Linked DNA regions of Astyanax mexicanus. The protein of the gene in region 2 interacts with the protein of the main gene of each other region in a biochemical or structural test. Links are inferred from orthologs where the notes say so. Each region holds a gene or a part of one and is shown on either strand. Other genes may lie near its edges.

The links.
Region 1: the proteins of lrrk1 (region 2) and matk form a complex in vitro, tested with the Homo sapiens proteins (2 studies listed by BioGRID and IntAct, with this or other methods). The link is inferred for Astyanax mexicanus from reciprocal best matches to the Homo sapiens genes LRRK1 and MATK.

The regions. Positions count from the first base shown.
Region 1 is NC_064423.1:27,338,788-27,346,214, reverse strand, and holds the start of matk (megakaryocyte-associated tyrosine-protein kinase), read right to left. Parts: upstream 3,108-7,427; 5' UTR 2,999-3,107; intron 2,240-2,998; 5' UTR 2,186-2,239; coding exon 2,177-2,185; intron 2,085-2,176; coding exon 1,968-2,084; intron 1,492-1,967; coding exon 1,376-1,491; intron 1-1,375. Other genes in the region: zfr2 (zinc finger RNA-binding protein), read right to left, coding at 5,677-5,850, 6,098-6,195, 6,385-6,496, 6,864-6,959.
Region 2 is NC_064423.1:9,982,300-9,990,293, forward strand, and holds the start of lrrk1 (leucine-rich repeat serine/threonine-protein kinase 1), read right to left. Parts: upstream 3,032-7,994; 5' UTR 2,882-3,031; intron 1-2,881.

The sequences.
Region 1 (7,427 bases), about 17 Mb from region 2:
GGACTGCACACGAATTACAAAAACTGACCTCTGAGTACTTTAAGACCCCCACACTTCAACAAATAACTTACATGCAAACTGCACTCTACCCACACCTAACCACAATGAACATGTCAAACACAGCATACAGACAGGAAGTAAAACCCCCCTCCTACACACACACACACACACACACACACATACATTCACACACTCTTACAGTTACTTTTGTGCAAACAAGTCTGGTTTCAATAAATTATATTAATTAAACCATGGCTATGGATATGGTATGATGGTCTTTAAGTGTAGATTAAAGGCTTACATTGGCCTTGCTTACACTAACTGGACCAAACTGTGATATTATGAATATTGAGGACATTGTACCTGCCCATTGTAAGCCTTGGCATTTATAAAAATAAGCATCAGTTTATTCCACAACACTGACATTATTAGTGCTATACAGGAGGAAGGCCAGTATTCCCAGTTCCCATCCTACACCTAGTTTCTGAAATCTTTCAATAAGGTAAAGCTGGTGAACCTGAACAAATTCATACATTATCCGGAGTTCACAGAAAAGATCAGCACCCAAACAGTTTTTCTAATTGTGTTCTTCTAACTGTGTTCTTCTGTGCTCCTCTAACAGTGTTATTTGCACTGTATTGTAGGTGCACTTTATTCATGCCTCTATAACAGAGCCACAGTAGATCCACCACAGCATGGGTTTGTGGATGTACATATAAAGTGAATAGATACTGTAGCCATATTCAAAGTATGGATTGATAATGTGGCCCTAAAATAATATCAAATGATTCAGGCTGTTTTTGCTAGAATAATATTTTTGGCAATGTGAAAGAAACACTGCAGAGTATGCATTTTAATGGATGCATAACATTTTAAGTTTAAGAGTAAACAATAGATGCTTTTAATATAGAATACTGCTATTATCACCATATTGATTTTTAGATTCCAAAAATACTGTCAAGATATATTGTGTACGATAAGATATGGCAAACCCTTACTATAAAATACCGTTTGGTTTATGTGGTCTACTGAAAAAATTGGCAACTCTGCAGAGTACATATTGGGGATTCACTGAATATTTGATAACCAAAATTATTCTACAGAACATGGCAGTTCAGACAAAAAACGTGACAAAAAAAAAGATATAAAGAACAAAGATCATTTAATTTAAAGGCAAGACAAAATACATTAAGGCAATTTCATTCATGCAGTGGTGAAAAATTAGTGTTAATTATTTGGTATTTGGCCTTCAGGCAAACTATTTCATTGTCTTCCGTTTCGGCCGAAATGTTTATTTTCGTGCATCTCTAGTAAATTTAGTGGGTGATCTAGAATCAAGTATTTTTTTTACAGATTTATAAATTTACAGACTTACGGCATAAGGCTAAGGTTGGGGTCTACACGCAGGACCTCCCGCTCTCGCACTTTAGAAGCAGAAAGTACACCCTCTTCACCTGTTCTGTTGTGTCTGGCTCTGAAGATAGACTTTCCCTGTAAAAATAACAATGTATAACAATGTATTTCTTCAGCTGCCATTACAGCTTTATAATAGAGTACATCTGGAAGACCACTTCTAAATAGAGTCTGCAATCATTAAATTTAATGATTTACTGTGTCATAAAAAACCCTGACCTATCTCGGATGATTCAGTCAAAGTTGTTTAGATGAATTAAGGCCTTCAAAAAACATGGATAACTTTGATAAATTGGCTCACCTTCAATATGATGTGTATTTTAATAAATATAGTAGATTACAAACAGAACAAGCAATATTACAAACATATTGTAGTATTTTGTTGGTATATCGTTAAATTTAAAGAAGCAAGAGTCGTAATAACCATCTGCAGCAGTTCGATCTACAGACAAGCAGCAGTTTATACCAGCTATAGGTTTAACACTTATGGTGCAAGGTTGCACTAAACAGGTTGAGGAAGTTCGTAGCCACGTGACAAGGAATCAAAAGCATACCGTTTCCAAAACATCCAAAATTGTAAGGATGTCTCCTTTAAGATAGGCAATCTCATTCCCTTTAGGCTTGGTGTGGTCACACTTGGCGACACACTGCGTACCAGGTTGCCACCTTTTCTATAAGGATAAAAAAGTAGAGTTCATTCACAACTGCAGAAGTAAGCAGTGTAACAAAAAGTAGAACCACTGTAGAGTGTGTGTGTCTTTACCGCAGCCATCCCCAGTGAAGAAATGAACAGAAAAATTGAACTTGGCCAGAAGCATCAGATTTCCTATAGAGTAAATACAAACAAGAACAAGGTATTGAAATTTATTATAATATATAATTTTTGACCACTTTTAAAAAGTCTTGTTTTGATTATATGAGAAGAAGAGCAGAGCACCAGTGTGCAGGAAGCAACAGGGGGTAAAATATAAATCACACGTTTTTGTAAGTAAACAGTTGTGACACGTTTCGTCCATCTTCTTGTATTTATATAACATTACATGTTTCTCTTAGTTGCTGTAATACAATGTTTTAAAGTCACAGTGAGGCTAATGTACAGCCACCTCACTGTGAGGTTAGTTTATGCCCCTAAAAAATATTTTACAAACTTACCAAGTTTAATGTAAAATTAAGAAATGAATTAGAAATGTAAAGATACTAGTTATGCTCACTTCCATAATATATATGAATAATATACTCAGTACTTATTTTATGTAGCTTTTAGATATACTTCTCCCTTTCTTTTTGTTAGATGTTGGCTTATGCTTGTGTTTATCATTGTTGGCTGTAAAGATTACCATTTTTATTATACAACAATAGCAACAACATGTTATAAGTAATATGCAGCACTTAACAAATTACTTGCTGAACTTTATCATTATACTATACTCAGCTGGTGGGCTATTATTACTTTACTATTATTGGTTACATTAGAAAAGCTTGAAGCCAGAATCAGCAATATCCTTCCAACCTCTTGTAACACGGTGTGTTGAGTTAGTCTCGCTGTGGTTTATTGTTTAAAGATTAAGTGTTTAGTCTGACTTACCGGAGCTGCAGGAAGATGTCAGGTCAGTAATGGAGCAGAATAACCGACTGCAGGAAGAGTTGAAGTGTTTTGAGGAAGATGCGACTACACTCACCCTTTTACAATTCGGCAAACCCGCCTTCACGCGGTGTGATTGGCTAACTAGGACCAGCCAAGCAGCCGCCTGCGCTCCTACTTGCTTCTGGGGCCCGCCTTCCAGGCTCCGCCTCTACAGAGCCACTGTTGGCTGCAAGGCTCCGCCTCCTGCGCTACTGTTGGCTTATTAGGGCCCGCCTCCTGCGCTTCTAGTTGATACTAGGCCCCGCCCCCTGTACGTCTACTTGCTACTAGGGTCCGCCTCCTGCGATACTGTTGGCTGCTAGGCTCCGCCTCCCGAGCTGTGATTGGCAGGTTGAGTCCTGCACTTTTTAACGCAGAAGGGTGAAAACAACCTTCCAGACACACAAATACACTCACACTTTTTTGTGTTTAATATACGTTTTAGCACTACAGAGACATTTACAAAAATAAATAAGCCATTATACACACTACTAAACATTCTTAAAAACGATTGTTAGTTTATTTTGTGAGGAAAAGAGCAGGGCACCAGTGTGGGAAAGTAACAGTTTTTTGGTCTTCTCGTATTTAAATAGCTTTACTATTACTATTCAGTTTTTCACAAAATTAATTCCTATAAATCTTCCTTTTAGTTGCGACCACTTTTCCCTGTCACAATTCGTCAAAATGTGTCTTCCCGCACTGTGACTGGCTATAGCAGGGGTATTTAATTCAGTAGTGTTTTACTTTCTTTTTCTGGTGCACCATCTTGATTAGCCTTTCTTGCTTTATCCTACGACTGCAACTTCTCACTGCCTGCTTTCGCCTGTGCATGCTCCGCGCTCCTGCATCTGCACAGATCTGATTGGCAGAGGAGAGCATTTGGTGATCTTACAACACACGGGATTGGTCTGCGAGTTCACTGCGCCACAAAGCACGACAGAAGACAGAAACGCTCAGTCGCTTTAAATGTACAATGTCAGAATTAAATCCTTCTCAGTAGTTCATCGGTTTGGGTCCGCATTGGAAAACGTCTGGGTCCGGACCAGGGTCCGCCTATTAGTGACCTCTGAGCTGACCAACCTCCTGTGCTACTACCGTACAAACGGTGCTGGCTACTATTGGCTACTAAGACCCTCCTTCTGGGCTACTGTTGGCTGCACATCCTGCTCTGTATTTGGCAGGTTAAGACTTTTTAACAGCAGGGTGACAACCATAGACATAATATATGTATATTATATTATAACTACAGTGAAAACAGCCTTCCAGACACATAAATAGACTCACACTTTTTATGTGGATCTGATAGTTTATTATACTTTTTAGCACTACAGAGACATTTAAAAAATAAATCACGCCATTATAAACACTACTAAACATTCCTAAAAACGATTGTAACACTCCATAATCAAAGAACACAATAAAACCAGTGAAACTAAAGTCAAAAAAAGAAAAAAAAAAAACAGAACAAAATATACTTTATATAGAAATGCACAGGATGTTGCATCCTCAAATATAATAATAATAATAATGATAATAATAATAATAATAATAATAATAAAACTATTGCATTATGTTATCACAGTATGAAATAACTAAAATATTCACTCATCTTCTTCACATTTCAAGTAGACTTTAATTTGCCCGTTTGAACTCCCTTAATTTCAGGCACAAGGAAGAGAACAGTAACATCATCATCAACATCATCCTCACCATCATCATCGCACTTTCAGAACAAAAGTGTGTAAAATCTGCTTTCTCCCCTCCATACAAATCACAAACAAGCTGCTATGACACGAACACCCCCTCTACCTCAGTCATACTTTAAGAGCTTCACAATATATGATATATTTATGTGCAAAAGAGAAAAAAGAAAAACAATTGCCACTGAAACAAAAATCACATGAACCCTTGATTAATTTACTGGTATTGCCCCAACAAATGTATTCTAATTTTCAACCTTAGTTGTTTGTTTCACAAACAACTAGACAAAACTGTTTCTCTTTTTGAGAACATTTCTTACAGTATTGAACCTTTTTTCACTTTATAAGCTGTCGGTGGAGTTTTATTAAGTCCTATACGTCTTATGATTGAGTTTCGGACTATGTAAACTCAAATCTCTTTTCAGTGATATACATTAGGGATTGGTTTTCCCAACACATAAATTAAGCCTAGTCGTAAAAGTATTTACACTTTTAGTGTAAGGCTAGGCTGGACCCATAATCTAAGGTCTTGTGTAAACATCAAAATAAAAATAAAGCAACTGGCCTCTATTTAAGTGGTTAAAGCTTTTAGTTTTAAGTGCTATTACTGAATAAATGTGCCTACATCAGGTTAGTAACAGTGTTACACACTGATCAGTGATCTTATAGTAGCAGTATTTAGATGCTTTCTGCTACACCAAACATGGAATGCATTTTTTTATTTTGAACATCATCGTTTCCTAAATCTATTCTTAGTACAGCAGTAATAAAAAGAGGAAAGGGAGGGATCATTTCTTAATTTCTTGCCCTTTGCGTTAAAACTGCAGAAATGTCAAGACTGTTACTTTTGCCCATTTTAGTGACACATATTCATTTATTATTTCTAAGAGAAAATAAATAATGACACATAATAAAGATGCCAGTAAGTTCTGGTATATTTCAAGCATCTAGTGAATCATCTTTTTTGTCTTTCTTTCCTTCGCCTTCCCCCTCACATATGTCTGTACCATCTCTTCGTCTTTTGCGGTTTCGAGCACTGGCCTTGGATGCTGGCAGAGATTCGATTCCCAAAACTTTATGGACCTGACGAAACGCTAACAACCGCAGAGCATGCTGAAAGACAGAGAAATACACTGCTTATCATCTGCTTTTATACAGGTTCAGGACATTTCCAGATGAGTAATAGTGCAAGACATTTTTGAACAAAATATGAAGAGCTTCTTAAACACAATATAAAGATGCTCAGTGATTAAAATCCAAAGATAAGAAGGTTTAAAAATAAAATCATCTGAACAGTCATAGATAGGTCATTCTTACTCTTCTAGAAATTAAAGTGATCTGATGATAACATTTCAAATACCTGAGCGCTTGCAGTTACATCTTCTCTAGCTTGTTTAGTCATGCACCCCAGCGCATCCGTCTGGATTTTTTCACAGGGGTCAAACAAGCCTGGACCATCTGAAAGGAGAAAATTGGACTAGTGAATAAAATTATCAAGAGTGACTGAAATTAATCAGCATGTAGTCATAGTTATTGAGTACTATTAATCATGTAACAACTAATGATGATATTCAGTAAATATGTTAGTTCTATAATTACGAGCCTAAGTTAAGTAATATAAAGGCCGCTTTATACATTGTTTCACACCTTGAAGGAGGATTCCGCTTGCTATGCACTCCAGAACCCTCCGCATGGCCTCTCCTGGACTCAGAGGACCTGATGCGCTGCTGATAGCTTTCTCCACCATCAGCTCCATGGCCTGCAAAGAGTTTTAGGAAAAATGAGAGATGATCATCTTCTCTAGGTTATTACAAACAGAAGCTGGTTAGCCTCAAAACTGTTTTGTAAGCTGGTTTCACTAATGGTTGATGTGGTTATATGTAGAGTCCCACTGCTTGTTATCATAAATGCATTATGTATGTGTCAACAGGTTACTATAAACCTAGAGAGAGTTCTAAAACCTAGAATACCGGCATATTGCTGCCCACAATGAGTGCATCAGCTTTAGTGAATAGACCGGTGCATCGTGTTTCTACACTGAATGGCTGTATGCTAGACATGGCAGACTACAATACCCACAATTCAAAATTCGAAGCAAGCAGGTAGAATAAAGGTTTAGCGCTCACCCAGGCTGGCATCTTTCCCCAGGTGGGCACACGCTGGCAGAGATCTCTGAGCAAACGGATGATGATTACACAAGACTGGAGACCATTGGCACGAGCCTGCAGATAAAAACAATACGAATTCATGCATACAAAACCAGCTGAGAAGCTCATTTCCACACAAGGATGGTTTCAAGATGTGATGTTTTCGTTTAATCAGCTGGTTTGGTTTTACAGTGTAAACACAAACAAAAATGAAAAAAAAAAAATATATATGTTTATCAGTTATATACTCTACAGTTCTGACAGGAAGATTCATACAAGTTTAGACTAATTATGAAAAAATGGACAGAAGAGCTAGAAGAGCACATTAACAATTTTATATTCCATTTCTAATCTAAGTTCACTGAATGCTAAAAGTATTGTTTAAATTAATTTTTATATACAATTATAAAATGTATACAATTTTAAAATGCCATTAAACTGACAATAATCATCACTACTGAAATTATTTCTAGGACAATACATCATCCAAAAATTGTGAGGCCTATTTTAAACCAGTGATGATCTTGTGGCAGTTAATTTTAA
Region 2 (7,994 bases):
CTATATAATACAAGTTCATTTTTAACTGAAATAAAGTAGCTTTTCAAGGACATTCAATGTTCAGGCATCAGTGAGAAAGTTGAAGTTGGGCCGGGGCTGGATACTTCAACAAGACAACGACCCTAAACACTAAACACTGCTTAAAATCGACTAAAGCATTCATGCAGAGGAACAAGTACAACGTTCTGGAATAATCATCTCAGTCCCCAGACCTGAATATTATTAAAATCTGTGGTGTGATTTATTTTTTAAGAGGGCTGTTTATGATCAGAAACGATCAAACCTGACTGAACTGGAGATGTTTTGTAAAGAAGAATAATCCAAAATACCTTCAACCAGAAGCCAGACTCTCACTGAAAAAAGCTATAGGAAGAGTTTAGAGGCTGCATTTTCTGCATAAGGAGAATCTACTAAATATTGATGTATTTTTTTCTGTTGGGGTGCCCAAGATTGTTGCACACTTTCTGTAAATCCTATAAACTTCATTTCATTTCTTAAATATCACTGTGTTCACCCGCTATATGATATATTTAACTGCAATTGCTGATTCGAACAACCAATGATTTATAAAGGAAAATCATAAAAATTATCAGGGGTGCCCAAACCTTTTCATACAACTGTATATGCTGGACGTTCTATGTAGCTGCATTAATTGTTTGTTCAACATTAAGCTTGGTGGAAAAACAGTATTTGTTTTGGGTTTTTTTTTTTACCCTCCAGTTGTTTTCGTAGGCCACTTTCAGTCCTACTGGTTTAGCTAGTACTACAGTACAGTACAGCTTCACTGTAACCCAGTGTGGTTGTGGCTGGTGTACTTCAAATACTGCAGCCACCAATCTCTGCTTTAATAGCTATAGAGCTAGGTGTGAAGTGTGTGTATATCTAAAGGTGTGAAAAAAGACACAAACAACAGCAAAATTACGGAGCCCGGGAGGGGCCGTGGATAAAAAAAACAATTAAATCGAGTGAACGATGTAGCAGTTCGTGCTCACGTTTTCTTTAATTAGAGTGAACGATTTGCAATTCGTGCTCACGATTTCTTTAATTCGTGCTCACGATTTCTGTAATTCGTGCGCACGATTTCTGTAATTCGAGTGAACGATTTCTGTAATTCGTGCTCACGTTTTTATGCGCAATAAGACAAGAAGCTCGGAGGGAAAGGAGCATTTTCTCTCTTGATCTGTTACAGGGGTGCAGTAATGATAATCAGTTATCTACCTTTATAACCTGCTGTTATTAATGCACTAGTGTTACAGTTAGATGTACAGTACAGTGAGCAGATTTTGCCTGGTGGTGGAATCTCTACAGCGCGTGGGGGAGAGCCGTCCGCGGCATCGGTTCCCCCGCCGCCAGACACCTGCCGCGCGCGCAGGTCTTCACGGAGCTTATTTACCAACAATGTAGACAAATACAGTCAATTCCAGTCATGATTAAAGGAAACAAACATTACTAATGCAGGATAACTGTGTGTTATTAAAACCAGATCAAAACAAAGTTATAATGCAATGTGGAACTGTTTATAATTTCTTATTTTCAACAATAGTATAACGTAAAGAAGTATAATTATATAAATATACAGCTATAAGACTTAGGTCCAAATGTACACTGTAAAAGTTAATAAAGATAATACAAAATTAATGCAAGGTGTGACAGTTGTCTATGAATGGCTCATATAAGAGCTGCTTTAAATATGTAACACTATATAAAATCAAAATAGCTGGTCTAAAATACTATTAATACAATGTATTAAGATATTTAGTAAATAGGCATTTCATATAATAATTTGGATCAATTTGATAATTTATTCCAATATGTTTCCTAAAATAATTAAGTTTCTATATCTGATGAAATGTCCTGAATATCTGCTTATTCTCAAATCACAGTGTCCTGCCCAGAAACATGCCACAAGCTTCAAATAAAAAAAATATAATAATTATAAACTTCTTAAATGTATATTTTCTGAATTATGTGTTTATTTATTATACAAATTATTAAAATATAGATTAAATCTATCATAAAAGTAATAATGATGTAACCAGATTTAAGAAGGTGTGCATTTCCTTGGAGGCTGGCTGAATGTTATTTAGAAATTAATAAACACATTTGCACATTGCATTATAACTTTGTTTTGATCTGGTTTTAATAACACACAGTTGTCCTGCATCAGTAAAATGTTTGTTTCCTTTATTCATGACTGGAATTGACTGTATTTGTCTACATTGTTGGTAAATAAGCTCCGTGAAGACCTGCGCGCAGGGCAGGTGTCTGGCGGCGGGGGAACCGATGCCGCGGACGGCTCTCCCCCACGCGCTGTAGAGATTCCACCACCAGGCAAAATCTGCTCACTGTACTGTACATCTAACTGTAACACTAGTGCATTAATAACAGCAGGTTATAAAGGTAGATAACTGATTATCATTACTGCACCCCTGTAACAGATCAAGAGAGAAAATGCTCCTTTCCCTCCGAGCTTCTTGTCTTATTGCGCATAAAAACGTGAGCACGAATTACAGAAATCGTTCACTCGAATTACAGAAATCGTGCGCACGAATTACAGAAATCGTGAGCACGAATTAAAGAAATCGTGAGCACGAATTGCAAATCGTTCACTCGAATTAAAGAAAACGTGAGCACGAACTGCTACATCGTTCACTCGATTTTATTATTTTTTTTATCCACGGCCCCTCCCGGGCTCCGTACAAAATAGTGAAACAAGACAAACAATAAGATACAGCAACTGGATAGAGCAGTACACTCTGTCCAGCAGTCGTAGTTAGTCGTAAACCCTGCTTTAAAGTCGTGTATTACACTCAGTCAGCTTCAGCCACGCTGTAAATAACTCCCAGCTTTAATAAAGTCCAGCAGCAGCAGAGCTACTCACCGATATTCCGGCTCCATAAAGCGCAGTCTGAGCTGGTGTGGAGAAAGTAAACAGCGTGTATAAGCGCTGAGCTCCAGTCTGAGACATCCAGCGTGCTGCTCTCTGATCCTCCAGCCGCCTGAAGGACTTCCTGGTGCAGTTCAGCAGGAGCGCAGAGCTCAGACAGAGGGAGGGATTACACTCAGATCTCAGCCATATAATCCACCCTTCTCAATCCGTGTATCATTCGTTCATTTGATATTCAATTGAGAATCAAAATCGGAAAATTAAAAAACCAATTCGTTTTTTCGTTTTTTCGTTTTTGAATATAATACCAAAAAACGAATAACGGCTTGTATTTTGTATTTTTATTTGGTTATCCAAACAAAAATTGGAAATTTAAAAAACGGACCAGGAGCCGAATTTGATTTTGATTTTGAACTTGACCCATTTGTGTGCCCCGGAAGTTACTGATTTGTTTATTCTTGGTGGGTTTCTGTTGCGCGGGAGTTCACTGCAGTGTTATCTACACAGTCTGTATTGCTGTAGGCTTTGGATGGAGTTGAGGATGGAGAGTTTTATCTTGTTCAGAGGAACTAAACGCGTTGCAGTGAAAGAAGACGATATGACAACAGAAAAAATCGGCAGGATCTTTCAGGTGTTTGTCTAACGTTCCGTAGCTAAATGTCATATTTAGTTAATACCTTCAAAAAGATCTTTAATTAGGCCAGAATGTGGTTCCAGTCCGGCCATGCTGCCTACAGCAATACAGACTGTGTAGATAACACTGCAGTGAACTCCCGCGCAACAGAAACCCACCAAGAATAAACAAATCAGTAACTTCCAGGGCACACAAATGGGTCAAGTTCAAAATCAAAATCAAATTCGGCTCCTGGTCCGTTTTTTAAATTTCCAATTTTTGTTTGGATAACCAAATAAGAATACAAAATACAAGCCGTTATTCGTTTTTTGGTATTATATTCAAAAACGAAAAAACGAAAAAACGAATTGGTTTTTTAATTTTCCGATTTTGATTCTCAATTGAATATCAAATGAACGAATGATACACGGATTCTTCTCCCATCATACTCCTCACTCCTCCTGAAAAAATATTAAATATTTATTTAGTCATTAAAAAATCCTTAAAAAAACACATTTATGTACTGTTTAGACTTTAAAAAATAAATAAAATCATTAATTAATAAAATAGCAAAAGTGTCTATTTGAAAAATATTTAAAAAATATTTTTTTAAAGATCTAAACACATTTAAACAAATAAAAAATATGAATACGTATATTTATTTAGTAAAATAGCAAAAGTTTCTATAAAAAAAAAAAAAAATATATATATATATATATATATATATATATATATATATATATATATATATACTTTTTTAAAGACCTAAACATATTTAAACAAATAAAATATGTTATATTTATCGTATATTTATTTAGTAAAATAGCTAAATTATCTATTTAAATTTTTTTAAAATATATATATTTACGTTTTTAAAGACCTAAACATTTTTAAACAAATAAAATATATTAATACATACATTTATTTAGTAAAATAGCTAAAGTATCTATTATATATATATATATATATATATGTATCTATTATATATATATATATATATATATATATATATATATATATATATATATATATATATTTACTTTTTTAAAGACCTAAACACATTTAAACAAATAAATAAATATTAATACGCATATTTATTTAGTAAAATAGCGTCTAAAAAGTGTATATTTTAAGTGTCCAGTGCAGATAAAAAAAAAAGGATTTATTTATTTTTAGAATATATTACTGTAACTATTTTTCAAGAGACTTAAACACATTTACATTGTGGTTATATTTTTAAAAAACTGCAGCGAACATTTTTTTTATATTTTATTCTATTTTATTTTTTAATTCTTTTTAAAATCTCAGCAATTCAATCCACCTCTTTACTAGCTCACTTCACACTCACACTCATATTATACTGCTTCAGCTCTCAGACTGCGCTCAGTTTAGAGCTTTATGACCTGGAAAAGCAGCGAGCAGAATCACGGAGCTATTTACAGAGAGCAAGTGCTCCAACACACACCATGTTTAATAGATGTAAACACTACATTTAGGTCTTTAAAAATTTTTTTAGACTTTTTATAATAAATAAATTAATGTAGTATATTAGTTAGTAAAAATAGTAAACATGATTATTTTAAGTGTCCACAATTTAAATTAAATATTAAAATTAAATAAATAAATATTTATTAATGTATTCATTTATTTAAAAAGTATGTAAATGTGTAAACATATTAATGTGGTGTTTAGACTTTTTAAAATGAATAAATAAATATTAATAGGTTTATTTAGTTAATAAAATAGCAAATATGACTATTTAAAAAATGCCCAGTGCAGATGAAAGAATAATAAATATGCATTTATTCATTTAAAAAGTCCTAAAACACTAGTCCTAAATTCATCTAATGTTTAGACGTACATACTTTAATAATAAATTAATGAATAAATAAATTTTGTAAAATAGCAAAAGTGACTATTTTAAAGTGTCCAGTGCTGATAAAAAATATAAAATATTTATTTTATATTTTATTATTTAATTATTTATTTATAGTGTGTATTTATTTTATATAAAAAAGACCTCAACACATTATACAGTGGTTAGATTTTTTTTTAAATCTGCAGTAGAATGTTTTAAATATTTTTATTCTATCTTATTTTTTATTCATTTTAAGTCTTTTTATTCCTATATCTATTAGCTAATAAATCGTTAGCTAATGAGTGGGTTGGTATCTGTCGTCGGTGGTTGAGCCTAAATAAAACAAATGAAAACAATGATAGGATATTAATTGATGATCCTGGAGGTTCTTTTCCATCTCCAGCTCGTCCCTGTGTGCCTGCAGCCGAAACCTGTTTCTGATCTTACCAGGTAACAAAAAATCCTGTTTTCTGATTTGTCGATTGTTCACTAATTCAAGCTCGCTGTAGCGCATAAGGCCATGTGTGGAGTGTGAACTTGTAGAAAAGACATGAGAGTCCTCCTCTGCCTGTATTTCTTGGTCCGGGAGGTCCAATTTTAGAGATTTACCTGTTCCCAACACACTAGATCCAACTGATCAGGTAATTAAAAGCTCGTTATTAAGGTCCGTGTGTTAAAGAAGGAAATCTAATAAAATAAAAAATGACCTGAAAAAAAACTCTGCCTTATGTTGGTTAACCATTGAGTTTCTTGGTCATTTTGGACGACCAACGTGGCTTTGCTTCACATGCTGGTTTACCAGTGTGGGGAGGAGGGTCATGTTGGTTAACTAGCATGTTTAAGCTTGGTCATACTTGTTTGTGGGGTTTAATCAGGTTGATCGTATTGATAGACCAGCTAAATCAGTGTTTTTCAATCCTGGTTCAGACACACCCTGCCCTAATCATTTTATTGCTTTACCTCTTACAAACACACCTGATTCAACCAATCAGCTCATAGACCACTGAAGTCCAATCCTTTTTTTTTGTAAAAACTTGCCTCTACCACATTCTGTGGTAAATAAATATGTTCAGAACCCTGTACATTTTATTATGTTTTACATTTACCTCCTGAACATCACTGGATCCTCTAAATTTCGAGATCGTTTAAGGGTAGTAATTAGAAAAATGCTAACTTTAAGCTAATGCTTAACTAAGGTCACAGCACAGCTGCAGGGAGTGGCAGAAGACTCGATTCTGCACTACACCAGCGAACTCCGCCCGGATCGCATTTTGGATTATTATTCTTTAGAGAGGAACATTAAAGCATTTAAACAGGTGAAACACTTTCAGTATGGTGATGTTGAGCAGTGTAGCCTCTGTGTTAGAGATTTAAAAGGCAGATAATAAGAAAAAGTGAGCTTTAGCTGTTCAGTGATTTAGTTCAGGAGCTGCTGCAGGTAATTCACACATTGCGCAAGGAAAAAAAAAGCACCCGAGAAGAGAAAAATTAAGCTTGAGAGCAATATTTTCTTCAGCGCGCACACGGTTCCCTTTTTTTTGCTAGTTTCACATTTGTGCTCACGAGAAGTTAATTTACACACGCAAAATGTTAAAAAACGTTGGTTATTTTTTTTCACCTGGTATTTTTGCGCCCCCGACTTGTATTTTTAGGCCCTCGACTTTTGACATTGATGTGACGCCTTTAAAACCCACATTAAGCCTTTTTACGTTAAGTATTTTAGACTCTATGGTTCTTAGATGAGCTAGATTAGCTTTGTGGTTCTGGAGTTTCTAGTTTCCTGCTGTAACACACAGCTGGGCCGTTTCTCAATCTGCGTTTTTGTCTGTACTTGTGTTCTTGTGGACTCGGGAAACGTCATCAGTCGCAGCCCAAGTACTGTTCCAATTCAGAAGATCGCAGTTTGCCAAGTACACAACTAATACCCGGATGTGTTCTTGCTCCTCCCACTTTATCGAGGATGCATGGAAGGTGACTTGTGTGGACTTGTGTTCTTACAGCCTGATAACCCAGAATGCACCTCGCAGCAGTATCAGCGTAATGCAGGAGGAGAAGGTACATAACTGTAAGCACCTGTACGTTTTAAAGACAGTACTGCTGTGTGCAAAAACAATGTTTTAAGTTATTTTTAGAATGCGAGAATGTAGGGGTTTAAACTTCAGATATGTGGTTTATTTGTTAAGAAAGCGGCTAGGTGAAAATGTGCTCATGTTTTCGGAACAACGCTTTCCGCTCCTCTAAGAGGGTGACGTCATCAAGTACACAGCTGTTCCAAATACACAACAACCGTCCCACTTCCTCCCGTCCTCGGGAGTCCGCACTTTCCGTACTTTCCAAGTACGGGAGTACAGACTTGTGTACTTGTGTATTAAGAAACATCCCTGGTCTCAGTGAGGGCAGATAGTTAGTTGATTAGTTAGTTAGTTAATTAGTTGGTTATTTGGATCAGGTGTGTTGTAATTAGTATTAACCACTGACCGTAATTAAATACTAAACCCAGCAGGGAAGTGCTGCTCCTAAACTGAATCACTGAACAGCCAAAGCTCATTTTCTCTTATTATCTGCCTTTAAAAGCTCTAACACAGACTTCACATGTATCGGAGGGGCATGTGCTAGTCTTCGCCCTCCTGGTGTTG